3 linked regions of the Oryctolagus cuniculus genome follow. The protein of the gene in region 3 purifies or fractionates together with the protein of the main gene of each other region. This does not show direct contact. Links are inferred from orthologs where the notes say so. Each region holds a gene or a part of one and is shown on either strand. Other genes may lie near its edges. The genes, in order: LIG3, XRCC1 and TDP1.

Region 1 (4,152 bases), on a different chromosome or scaffold from region 3:
TTAGTAAGGAAATATGGTTAAAAGGAACAGAACTAGTCTTTGTAATTCTTTCTTACAATTTTATTACTTATAACTATTCTTATGACCCTTCTGAGAGTTTCAATTTATTTCCAAATAAACAGTTAAATAAAGAAAAAGTCTAGGCCGGCGCCACGGCTTACTAGGCTAATCCTCCGCCTAGCGGCGCCGGCACACCGGGTTCTAGTCCCGGTCGGGGCGCCGGATTCTGTCCTGGTTGCCCCTCTTCCAGGCTAGCCCTCTGCTGTGGCCAGGGAGTGCAGTGGAGGATGGTCCAGGTGCTTGGGCCCTGCACCCCATGGGAGACCAGGAAAAGCACCTGGCTCCTGGCTCCTGCCATCGGATCAGCGTGGTGCGCCGGCCGCAGCGCGCTGGCCGCGGCGGCCATTGGAGGGTGAACCAACGGCAAAAGGAAGACCTTTCTCTCTGTCTCTCTCTCTCACTGTCCACTCTGCCTGTCAAAAAAAAAAAAAAAAAAAAAAAAAAAGTCTCGATTCTGAGGCTGGCATTGTGGAATAATGGGTTAAGCTGCCGCCTGCATCCCATATGGGTGCCAATTAGAATCCCAGCTGCTCCACTTCCAATTAGCTCCCTGCTAACATGCCTGGAAAGCAGAGTAAGATAGCCCAAATGCTTGGGCCCCTGCCATTCACATGGGAATCTTTTTTTTAAAAAAAGATTCATTTATTTATTTGTAAGGCAGTGTTACAGAGAGGCAGAGGCAGAGAGAGGTCTTATATTCGCTGGTTTACTCCCCAAATGGCCACAATGGCCAAAGCTGGGCCGATCCAAAGCCAGGAGCCAGGATCCTCTTGCAGGTTTCCCACATGGGTACAAGGGCCCAAGGACTTGGGCTATCCTCCACTGCTTTCCCAGGCCATAGCAGAGAGCTGGTTTGGAAATAGAGCAGCCAGGACTCAAACCTGTGCCAATATGGATGCTGGCACCACAGGCGGTGGCTTTACCTGCTATGCCACAGCACTGGTCCCAGATAAATCTTTAAAAAGAAAAGAAAAAGGTGGGGGGCAGAGAAAGAGGGAGCAAGAGAGATTGTCCACCCACTGGTCCTCTCCCCAAATGGCCAAACAGCCAGGGCAGGGCCAGGCTGAAGTCAGGCGCTTCATCCAGGTCTCTCTACATGGGTGCAGGGTCCTAAGGACTTGGGCCATCTTCTACTGCTTTCCCAGGCACATTAGCAGGGAGCTGAATTGGAAGCAGAGGAGCCAGGACTTAAGCCAGCACTTACAGAGGATGCCAGCCCTGCAGGCCACGGCTTCACCTGCTATGCTATGCCATAGCGCCGGCCCCAAATAAATCAATCTTAAAAAAAAAAAAAAAAAAAGTCTGGACTCTAGGCTTCTCACCCCTTTTCCTCTTTGCCCCAGTAAGCCCAGAAAGCAGTGTTCTCCATCCCACCTGTAATGTGCTGGGTTATCTGCTCCTTCTCATTATCTTCCAGCTCTTCCCAGCCTTCCAGCTCTGTGAGGTCCTCGATTTTTTTCGTGGTGGCCCGGGCCCGCTCCAGCTTCTCAAACATGCATTTAATGTGGTACCACTCTTTCATATCACCTCCGGACTCTGAAAAGGGATTGGGCACCACTTTGCCAATTCGGCAAACGCCCTTTACAATCTTTTCCTTGCATTTTTTGCAGCCAGCTGTGCCACGCTTGGCGTAGTCCACGCAGAACCGTTGCTCAGCCATCTCACAGGGGCCACTGCAGAGTCCCACATGCGACCCTGGCAGGAAAACAAGGCAGGTGGCACGTGCTCTTAGACGACCTTCGCCAAATGATGGAACAGGCTTTCCTCTCGGGAGGAGGCAGCGACCACGGAGCACATCTGTTTCCGACCACCGGCTAAACAGTTTGAGGTCAGGCCAGCGATGCTGTTCTCGGAACAGGCACAGTTCTTTTCGGCCAAGGGCTCGGAGACTTTCTGGGAAGAGGATCTTGAAAGCCACAGTCATGCAGCTGCATGAAAAGGTGAGACACACACACACACGGATATAAATGGGCACCAATGGGGGATGAGGCTTCCAACGTGTCAAAGGCCAGAGTCTTACACAGGCCATGCTGACTAACCACTTTCCCAAGTATTAAAGATTCACCACCTACAGAATAAAGAGTTCTAATTCAGGACAATCCAGTTTCCTAAAGGGTGTTCAATGACCTAACGTATATACGCACATCTAGTAAACCACGAGGAGGAGAATCCAAGCACCATAAAAGCTTTTCTCAAGCCATCAGCAAAATGCGACAATCCTAATGGATGATGACCTTTAAGTATTGTAAGATCCTCAAGGTGTTCTAATTACCAAGGAAAACACACTATATTCATAGGATTTTTAATGCCACGTATAACAGACGTGCCATCCTCAGAAAACAACAAAGCCACTACAGAGACCCTTGCTTTAATCAGAAGCTCTATTTTGAGAGGCAGGAAGCTGAGCCGAGAAGCGGCCTGCCTGGGTCCAGATTCTAGCTCAGCCACTCATTAGCTGTGCGCCCTCGGTGGGTTACTCAAACTTTCAGTTCCTCAGTTTTCGTATCTGTAAACCACGGCCAGTAACTGTCCTAACTGAAGGAGCTCCCGTGCTGAGAGCCCTCGGATCCGCGCTGGGCGCGATGTCCGCTCTTCTCAGAACCAGGACAGCGGCTGCCCGGCACGGCAGGGGCCCCCTACCCGCCACCTCCGCCGGGGAAGCCTGAAGGGACTGCGTAGCAGGAATCCCGGGGACCGACAGATCAGCCCGAATGCGGACGGCCGCTGCACCTGCACCTTCCAGCGGTCGGATTCCCCGCAGCGCCGCGGCAGGGCTATGCCACGACACCGGAAGCGGTCTCCCTGGAGCGCGGCGCTGGGCTTTCTCCGCCGGCTACTCCGCACCTCCTGAGGGGAGCGCCCGCTGTCGCCTCAGCAGTCTCTTACCTCCCCTGACTCTGGGCTTTATTACTTCTCAAACAGGGAAGGGAACTCCTAGCTTCCGGGGAGGCTGGGAGAGTCACAAAGACCGGCTGCTGCAGGCGCCGGTTCCGAAACCCCTGCCCATCTGCGCAAACTCTGAGTTGTGCTGGAGTCGAGGTCCCTCCGTTTCATGACTACCTACATGCCCGCGAGCACCCCAAAGTTTAAGCAGCGCAGAGGGTGAAGTTGCGCAGACCCGCGAGAGGAGCGCAGCAGCAGCTGGGTCTCCACCATGTCGGCGCACAGAGCCACCTGCAGCCCCCGAATCACGGCTCGGGCGAGGCGCGCTCCGGCGGCGCCAGGCCACGAGGAGGCACAATGCAGCCAAGAGAGACAACAGCCCCGCTCCCGCTCCCAACGGCCGGCCGCAACCGACGAGCCGCCGCGGCGCTTTGGGGAAGTGGGCAGGGGCTGCGGGGAGCCAGGCCCCGCGGGCAGGGAGCAGGGCCCCGCGGGGTGGCGGCGGAGAGCGCTCCTCCCGAGGGCCGGGAGCGGCAGAGGCGGCCGAACTCCCGCGCCCACGTCAGCGCCGGGAGCTTGCACAAGCGGCCCAGGTCTCAGGAGGTCCCAGGGCTGAAGGGCAGGCGTGGAAGGAGGGGCCCTCGCCTCTAGCCCGTAGTGGGGGGGGGGGGGGTCCCGGGGGCCGCGAGCCTCCCGTGGGCTCCCGGGGGGCCGCCACGTCACGGAGGGTGTGCCCCCGGGCTCCGCCGGCGGGCGGGGGAGGAGCCGGGGGCTGGCTCCCGGGCCGCGCCGAGCTCGGGCCCCGGCCCGCTTTCCACACCGCGCTGCGCCGATCCTCACCTGCCTCCCCGGCTCCGGCGCTCACCGCAGGCCTCGGGACTGGGAGCGTACAGGCCGCGAGCAGCTCACGACGGTTGGAGTGCCTGTCTCTTTAAATCCGGGTCCTCAAGCTGGAGGCAGCGCGCAGGCGCAAAAGCCCGGGCCAGAGAGCGACGCAACCGGGCCCCGCCCCCGCGTGCCACGTGCGTGGTGGCCGGGTTCCGCCGGCTGTGGTATGGGGGCTGGTGAGGAGCCCCACCGGGTTACACCGCTGGGGTCCCCGATTCCCCCCTGGAGCCAGGGCTCCTGTGGGCCTTAAAGATGCTGGTTGGGGAGTGAGCACGTGGGAGAGCTGCGGGCCGGCAGAGACCGCGTCCCGTAGGCCGTTTT
Region 2 (4,000 bases), on a different chromosome or scaffold from region 3:
ACCAGGACTCAAACAAGTGCCTATATGGGATGCTGGCATTGCAGCCACAACACCAGCACAGCAAGAAAGAGGGAGGGAGGGAGGGAGGGAGGGGGAGAGACAGAGAGAGAGAAAGGGAGGAAGAAAGAGAGAAAGAGAGAGAAAGAGAGAGAGCGAGCTTCCATTCCCTGGTTCACTCCCCAATTGGTCACAGTGGCTGGAGCTGAGCTGATTTGAAGCCAGGAGCCAGGAGCTTCTTCCAGGTCTCCCATGTGGGTGCAGGGGCCCAAGGACCTGGGCCATCTTCCACTGCTTTCCCAGGCCACAGCAGGTAGCTGGATGGGAGGTGGAGCAACCAAGACTCAAAGCAGTGCCCACATGCGATGCTGGCATTGTAGCCACGACGCCAGCCTCCCAGAAAAATAAAACAGCAAAATCAAAAAAGAGCCGTGTGCCACCTCGCTGTCAAATGTTTCTTCCAAAGAACACATGTCCAGTGATACACAGGAGTCGCCTCCGGACGGTGCCCCAGCCAGTCCCACCGGGCCAGGAGTGGCTGACAAAGAGGTTGGAAGTCCCTGCCTGGGAGCAGGTGAGGGGTTGGCAACACAGCTCTCCTGTGGCTGCCACAAACAAGGTGTGTGGGACCGTCACGAGCGGAGGGCGGCGGCCCGGATTGCAACATCCAGGTGTTGCACAACACGGTTTGGAGGAGAAAAGGACGGGGGAGCAGAAAACCCACAGCGGAGTCTCCTGTGGTGGCTTATCAGTCTCTAGGGGAGGACCAAAGCCAGCCCGTGGTGAACTCAGAGTCACCCCAGGGGCTGGCCAACGCCAGACGTGACCAGGTTTTTCCGAAGGTCTCCGATGTGAACAAGTGAACAGCCCAATAACAAGAACAGGACTCCCTCCCCTTACACAAACAGCCACGTGTTGACAGAGCAGGTCCGCAGACGTTATGTCACCAACTGCCACAACAATGCTCGGCTCGCATGCCATTATCCGGGCGCACACATGAGAAAACAGGCTCCAGGATGGCGGCTGCTGCCCGAGGCCACAGCGTGCATGCGTAAGAGGGAGCGCTGCGGAGCCGAGCCCGGGCCCCACGCTGCACCGTCAGCAGCCCGGATCTCCCGCAGTTCTCGGGCCAGCTGCATGACTTCCCTGGGCCTCCGTTTCCACACCTGTGAATTGGGGACAATAACAGACCCTAGGTCCTGGGACTTCTTATGCAACGAGCTAACCCACGTGATGGGCACAGAGCAGGGACTGGCAGGTTGTAGCCCTGAGTGATGCTAGCTCTCATCGCTTTTCTTAGAGGAGGGACTTAGGGGATGCTTAAACTTCCAAAATCAGTCAGAAAATCCGATAGGTGTGCCCTCAGCTGCCATATATATATATATATATATATATATTTTTTTTTTTTTTTTTGACAGGCAGAGTGGACAGTGAGAGAGAGAGACAGAGAGAAAGGTCTTCCTTTTCCGTGGGTTCACCCTCCAATGGCTGCCGCGGCCGGCGCACCGCGCTGATCCGAAGTCAGGAGCCAGGTGCTTCTCCTGGTCTCCCATGGGGTGCAGGGCCCAAGCACTTGGGCCATCCTCCACTGCACTCCCGGGCCACAGCAGAGAGCTGGCCTGGAAGAGGGGCAACGGGGACAGAATCCGGCGCCCCGACCGGGATTAGAACCCGGTGTGCCGGCGCCGCAAGGCGGAGGATTAGCCTAGTGAGCCGCTGCCCTCAGCTGCTTTTTAATTCTCAAGATCTCGTGACCCAAAACTTCTTCTGAAGGATCGAGCAAGACAGAGACCAAGAACACGTTCCGTGTCCAACAGACTCACGGGAGCCTTGTCCCCGGCCCCGAGACCCCTCCACAAATACTATATTCAGAACCAAGGGACGCAATTCAAGATCAAGGGCGCCAGTGTGTGCACGCTGAGCCCACCCACAAAGCTGCCAACCCGAGGCCTGGCCCGGTCCCTGCGCCCGGCGACAAGCGTCCCTACAGGCCTGCAGCTGCCCAAAGCGCACGCAGCCCTCGCCGCCCTCCCTCCCTTCGCCCCCCACGGGAATCTTGCAAGCGCCTCAGGTCGAACCACCCCTCCCGTGGGCGCCCTCTCCCCGCCCCCGCAAGGGCCCCCGGGGACCGCACTGCCCATTTTCCAGGCAAGCAAGCTGAGGCCCCGCTGGGCGAGCGGCTGGACCCGACGGACAGCCCGGGGCCCCCAGCAGAACCGCGGGCCCGCACGGAGGAGGCGGCGTCACCTGCAGGACCACGGAGATGGTCTTCTCCCCCGCCTTGGCGGCCCGCCATTTCCGATAAGTGTCGGCTTTGAGGAGGTTTTCCGCGCAGTGAGTCTGCAGGCGAGAGCCGGAGAGCGGGGTCAGGGGCCGCACGAGGCCGCGGCGAGCCCTCCCACGCCCACCGCGCCCCCAGGCTCCCGCACCCGCAGCTCCACGAGTGGGCTCTCCAAGGAGGCCCCCAAGTCCCCTCCTCCGCGCAAGTGCCCCACTCCCACCCCTCTCCGCAGCTCACCGTCCGCCTCCTGGAAAAACCCCCCTCCCCCACGTCCCGTCTTCAGATTTCCATGAAGTTCCTCTCGCCCCTCCAAAGTTCTGACAGCGTCCCCTCCCCCCTCCATTCCCTGCGACCCCTCCCCCGCCCCACGCCAGTCCCTCACCGAGTCCTGGCTGCTACAGGACACGACATGACGGAGGCGGATCTCCGGCATGTCAACGGCGCGGGCTTAGCCTGGCCGAAGGGATGAAGCGAGTCCGAGTTCGGGGGGCGTGAAGGGGTGCTCCCTGCGCGGGCTGAAGTGCGCACGCGCGCGAAGCTCGGGCCTTTCAAACCGCGGCGCGCGGGCGCTCGCGTCGACACCGCGCATGCCCAGTTGCACCGTTGCGCCGCGTTACCTAGCAACGAGCTTTCCCTCGGGCCCCACCCCTCTCGGGCCCCTACCACTCTCTAGTTCCGCCTCCTGATGACGTAGCCGCTCGGCTTTCTGAGCGCCTAGCAACAGGAGCGGCCTCTGGGATTGGTGCCTAGAAGACCTTCGCGCTTTTCATTGGACGGTGCCGTCAGCGCCCAACCTGAAGCTTAGACGGCCCAGGACCCGAGTGGATTTTTGCAGGGAACCTGGGTCCTAAAGCAATGGCATCGCCTCCACTGGTTCCTGCGGCCGCCCTCGCCGCGCACACACAGTCTCAGCTCTCTCTCGGCCTTGTGCCTGAGCCCAAACCGTACGCACAGCTGCTTGCACGCATGTCTCCAACACGTGGCCCGTGGGCATCTGTCTCCTACCACGCCCGCCTCTGACAGGCACCTCTCTGTTCGGTCCCCTGGAGACCCAGGAGCACAGCCCTGGGCGGGGTCAGAGCTGGACACAAACCAAACACAACAGAGGGAGTGTGTGCCAAGCACGTGAAAGAGAGAAGACAAGGGAGACAGGGCGCCTGGCCCCCGCAGGACGAGCCTGGACACGACGGGCGCGCCCCAGGTCGGGCCCCACCCACGCTGGACGCCTCCTTGGGGAGAGGAGAGGAGACCCAGTCTTTGCAGCGCTTTAGTTTCACGGGGGAATTAAGTGACCCCTATGGGCGGTGCGAAGGTGAGAAGGCAGGGCACTGGGTCCTGGCGGGAGAAGGGGCTGCGAGCCTGGAGTCCCTGGGTCCCGCGGAGGAGGGCGCTGGGGACAAGATGTCCAGGTCTTTGGCTCCGCCTCCCCAGCCTGGAGGCTGCAGAGGCCGGCCCTGGGTTCTGACCTCAGCTGTCTCACCCCAGGGTGAAGGTGGGTCCGGATCCGCCCCTCTTCAGCTTCCTATAAGGGCAGGGGACCCGGGACCTCAGGTTCACACACCATGAGGCCGTCCACAAGACCGGGGCACTTCCTGCTGGCCCTCACGTTGCTCTGCACCCTCCCGGGGCTGGGTAAGTGGCCAGGGACCTGGGCTCCTTCCACCAGGCCCTCCAGGGAGGAACGGGAGGCATACTGGGGGATCCCATCCATGGAGAAGGCAT
Region 3 (3,522 bases):
TCTGTGTTTTTAGGTACTGTAGCATTTCTGTTAGATGATTTGAGTGATTGTAGCATTCACCTTTCTTCTTTCATAGCTTCTGAAAGAACACACCTCGTCCGTCCCCCAGGCCGAGTCCTGGCCCATCGTGGGCCAGTTTTCTAGCATTGGCTCCTTGGGGGCTGATGAGTCAAAGTGGCTCTGCTCGGAGTTTAAAGAGAGTTTGCTGACCCTGGGGCAGGCAAGCAGGACTGCAGGGAAAAGCACCGTTCCTCTGCATTTGGTGAGTTCCCCTCGTCCTCAGGTTAATTCATTTTTATCCCGGGAGAGGAACTGAGACTCAGTGCTGCTTGTCGTAGAGAGAGGTGCTGTGCTGCATTGTGGGGACGGGAAGAGTGGTGTGCCGGCATCACCCCTTGCGTCCAACGGTATCCGTGCTGAGAGCTGGGGGTGTGTGCAGGAACCCCATGCCAGCCACAAACCAGCCTATGATTTACCATTCTTTGGGGTTGTCAAACCAAGGAAAAACCATACTTGGCATAACATGGCCAATAGAGTTACAAGTATTGTTAACTATTTATTTAAAGACCTGGGAATTAATAATTAATTTTGCATTTAATTCAGTGCTAACTTGACCTTTCAGAAGAAGAAAAAATAACCAAAATATAATACATTTGTGCTTCCTGTAGTTTAATTACTACTAGAAGTTCAGTTTCTTCAGTAAGATGGGAACATTTAAAAATCTAAGGCTTATTTTCCAAGTTTCTAAACTAAGTATTTTTTTTATTGTTTATTCAAGAGACAGAAGAGGTCTCATCCATTGACTGAGTCCCCTGTTGCCTGTGATGGTCAGGGCCAGACTCAGGATCCCGGGGTTCATCCAGATCTCCCATGTAGGTGGCAGCAACCCAACTGCTGGAGCTGCCTCCCAGGGTGCTCATTAGCAAGAAGCTGGAATCAGTACCCAGAGCTGGGTATCAGGAAGCTAGAAGCAGTAGCCAGAGCATTCCACAGGGACATACGCATCTTAACTGTGACCTAACCGCTAGGCCAAATGCCCACCCCAGTGATTTTTCCTAAAAGCTGGTCATCATTCCTTCAACATGATACATTCCAATTTTTTTCTCTTTTTATTTTTAGATCTATCCTTCTGTGGAAAATGTGCGGACCAGCTTAGAAGGATATCCTGGTAATTATCAGGGAAGCCCTCATTTGTGCTTTTTGTGTATGTTCCATAGATGCCCTGGCAAAATTTTTAGCAGTATTGATTAGAAATGTACAGAAGGTTCCCTGGTGATAGGAGCTCTGCTGTGTTCCACAGGTGGGCAGTATGGGGTATTGTGTAACCTTCACAGCTGCTCACGCGGTACACCAGTGCTCTTCTCGTTTTCACTAATAAGGTAACCAGCAAGTTGGTGCCCAGACCAGATGTCCAAATAACATTCGTTCTCCCACTATTCAGTATCTTCAGAGCATTTCGAACTTAACCTTCCTCTTACCTCTCCTAGCATCCTCCCTGCCTGTGTCTGAGAAACTAGACAGTTCTTTCACATTTAAATTCCTGATACAGAGATGAAGTGCAAAATTAACTTCACCTTTTTAAGAAAAGATTTATTCATTTATTTGAAAGACAGAGTTAGAAAGACAGATATTTTCTATTCACTGGTTTACTCCCCAAGTGACCACAACAGCCAGGTTGAAGCTAGGAGTCTTAAACTCCATCCAAGTCTCCCTCATGGGTGGCAGGGGTCCACATACTTGGGGCATCGTCCACTGCTTTCCCAGGTACATTAGCAGGGAACTGGACTGGAAGTAAAGCAGCTGGGACTTAAACCTGTGCTCATAGGGGATGCTGGTGTCACAGACAGTGGCTTAACCTGCTGTGCCACAGTGCCAGCCCCTAAATTGACCTTTTAATTCCATTTTTCCATGAACATTTCTCAAGTTCCAGAATTTATGCATGGTATTTCCTTTGGTATAATCTGTTCATATGTCCATTATGTCAAGGTCATCATCTGCAGATGCCTAGGATTATTTTGCCAGACAACTGTGAGACCTCATCTCCATTTCCTTTGTGCCATTACTAGGCACTAAACTTCTATCTGGAATTCAGCAACACCCTGGATAGTGCAATCAGGATGTATTAACTAAAAGCCCAAATGGTGTGTGCCTTTGGAGAGAGCAGTGTTGGGCTGACGTTCACTGGTGTCTAAAAGCAGAATGCCCTGAATTAGACTATCACATTCACTTACTGCTTATCGAACTCAGTGTGCCCTGCCAGAAACATATCAGTAGTGTTTGGAATATAGGGCCCATTTGTTGCTTTTAATGGCAAATATGAAATTATCTCACTGAGACTCTGGGACGTGGTGATAGTTTTTCTTTTGTCTTCATTCTTTACCTCTAATAGCTGGATCCATTCTAAGTGTGCTTTTAATGGAAAGAATTTTGTGTTTTTCAATAAAGCTATTTTATGACTAGTTCTAAAGCTGAGAATGTTTATAGTCATTTGTGGTAGGAGATAGGACACCTGATTGGATACACTGGAGTTGCTGACGGCCCCCTCTGGGTGTAGCTCACTGTGGAGAGGTTCCAGAGCGTGTCTGGGAAATCACTGATGCATCTGCAGTGGGAGTTCTCTTCCTCTCAGAGAGGAACAGAAATTGGCTTCTAAGTACGTTTCCACTGGAACTGTCTTGATTCCCTTTGTACAAATGAGGCCTTTAAAATTCCTTTTTAAAAAACTGAGCTACTTACTCAACATTTTAACTCAGTTTCCACTCCTCGCATTCTATAAGAATCTGTTCAGCTAGTACAAAGTCTGTTTGGAAGCAGCAGTGTGTGCAGGTAAAGTCGACAGAACTGAGGTAGCACCCTGCACGGCCCAACAGGGTTGTGGTCCTAGGCAAAGAGAGGCTCCCCACTCACGTCTGTGATCTGCCTCGGGGGTATTGTGGGCCACAGTCCTACCAGTGCTCTTCCAGCAGCTCCAGTCTTTGCTGCTACAGCTGTTAAGTTACCACCATCACGTGATTTAGAAATACCCTTGTATTTTTTTGATAGTAAACATCTATTTAAATATTTATCACTCCTGAGAAAGGAAACCCCTTTAACAGTACATACCAAATGCAAATATAGACATTTTCATTCAAAGAACTATTCCATAAGATAAAATAATGGCAGTGGTGTTTTGTTTACCTTCCAACATGATGTTTATTACAGATTTTCTTCTTAGGGAGTTTTAAGTTATATTTCCTAATTTTTATCATTTTTTTTGTTTTTCTTTTAAAAGCTGGGGGCTCTCTTCCCTATAGCATCCAGACAGCTGAAAAACAGAATTGGCTGCATTCCTATTTTCAGTAAGTAATTGGTTTAGAATACTGCTGTTGCTTCTTTAGGAATATGAATGTTATTTATGTCGGTCTGGTGGTTTTTTTCATTTTTTTAAAAGAACCTTATGTAATATAGCTATATTCTTTCATCTACATATGCTAGTGGTAGAAATAATTTAAAACAAGGTTTTAAAATGTTCTTGGAATAGGT

Evidence for each region.
Region 1: the proteins of TDP1 (region 3) and LIG3 purify together in Homo sapiens (affinity purification with mass spectrometry; 4 studies listed by BioGRID and IntAct, with this or other methods). This does not show direct contact. The link is inferred for Oryctolagus cuniculus from reciprocal best matches to the Homo sapiens genes TDP1 and LIG3.
Region 2: the proteins of TDP1 (region 3) and XRCC1 purify together in Homo sapiens (affinity purification with mass spectrometry; 4 studies listed by BioGRID and IntAct, with this or other methods). This does not show direct contact. The link is inferred for Oryctolagus cuniculus from reciprocal best matches to the Homo sapiens genes TDP1 and XRCC1.

The regions. Positions count from the first base shown.
Region 1 is NC_091448.1:39,302,271-39,306,422, forward strand, and holds the start of LIG3 (DNA ligase 3), read right to left. Parts: upstream 2,817-4,152; 5' UTR 2,090-2,816; coding exon 1,435-2,089; intron 1-1,434. Other genes in the region: CCT6B (T-complex protein 1 subunit zeta-2), read left to right, coding at 3,301-3,536. UniProt on the Homo sapiens protein: Isoform 3 functions as a heterodimer with DNA-repair protein XRCC1 in the nucleus and can correct defective DNA strand-break repair and sister chromatid exchange following treatment with ionizing radiation and alkylating agents.
Region 2 is NC_091449.1:12,328,904-12,332,903, reverse strand, and holds the start of XRCC1 (DNA repair protein XRCC1), read right to left. Parts: upstream 2,823-4,000; 5' UTR 2,712-2,822; coding exon 2,661-2,711; intron 2,338-2,660; coding exon 2,245-2,337; intron 1-2,244. Other genes in the region: PINLYP (phospholipase A2 inhibitor and Ly6/PLAUR domain-containing protein), read left to right, coding at 3,841-3,910. UniProt on the Homo sapiens protein: Scaffold protein involved in DNA single-strand break repair by mediating the assembly of DNA break repair protein complexes. Negatively regulates ADP-ribosyltransferase activity of PARP1 during base-excision repair in order to prevent excessive PARP1 activity.
Region 3 is NC_091451.1:35,658,866-35,662,387, forward strand, and holds part of TDP1 (tyrosyl-DNA phosphodiesterase 1), read left to right. Parts: intron 1-76; coding exon 77-262; intron 263-1,119; coding exon 1,120-1,168; intron 1,169-3,271; coding exon 3,272-3,338; intron 3,339-3,522. UniProt on the Homo sapiens protein: DNA repair enzyme that can remove a variety of covalent adducts from DNA through hydrolysis of a 3'-phosphodiester bond, giving rise to DNA with a free 3' phosphate.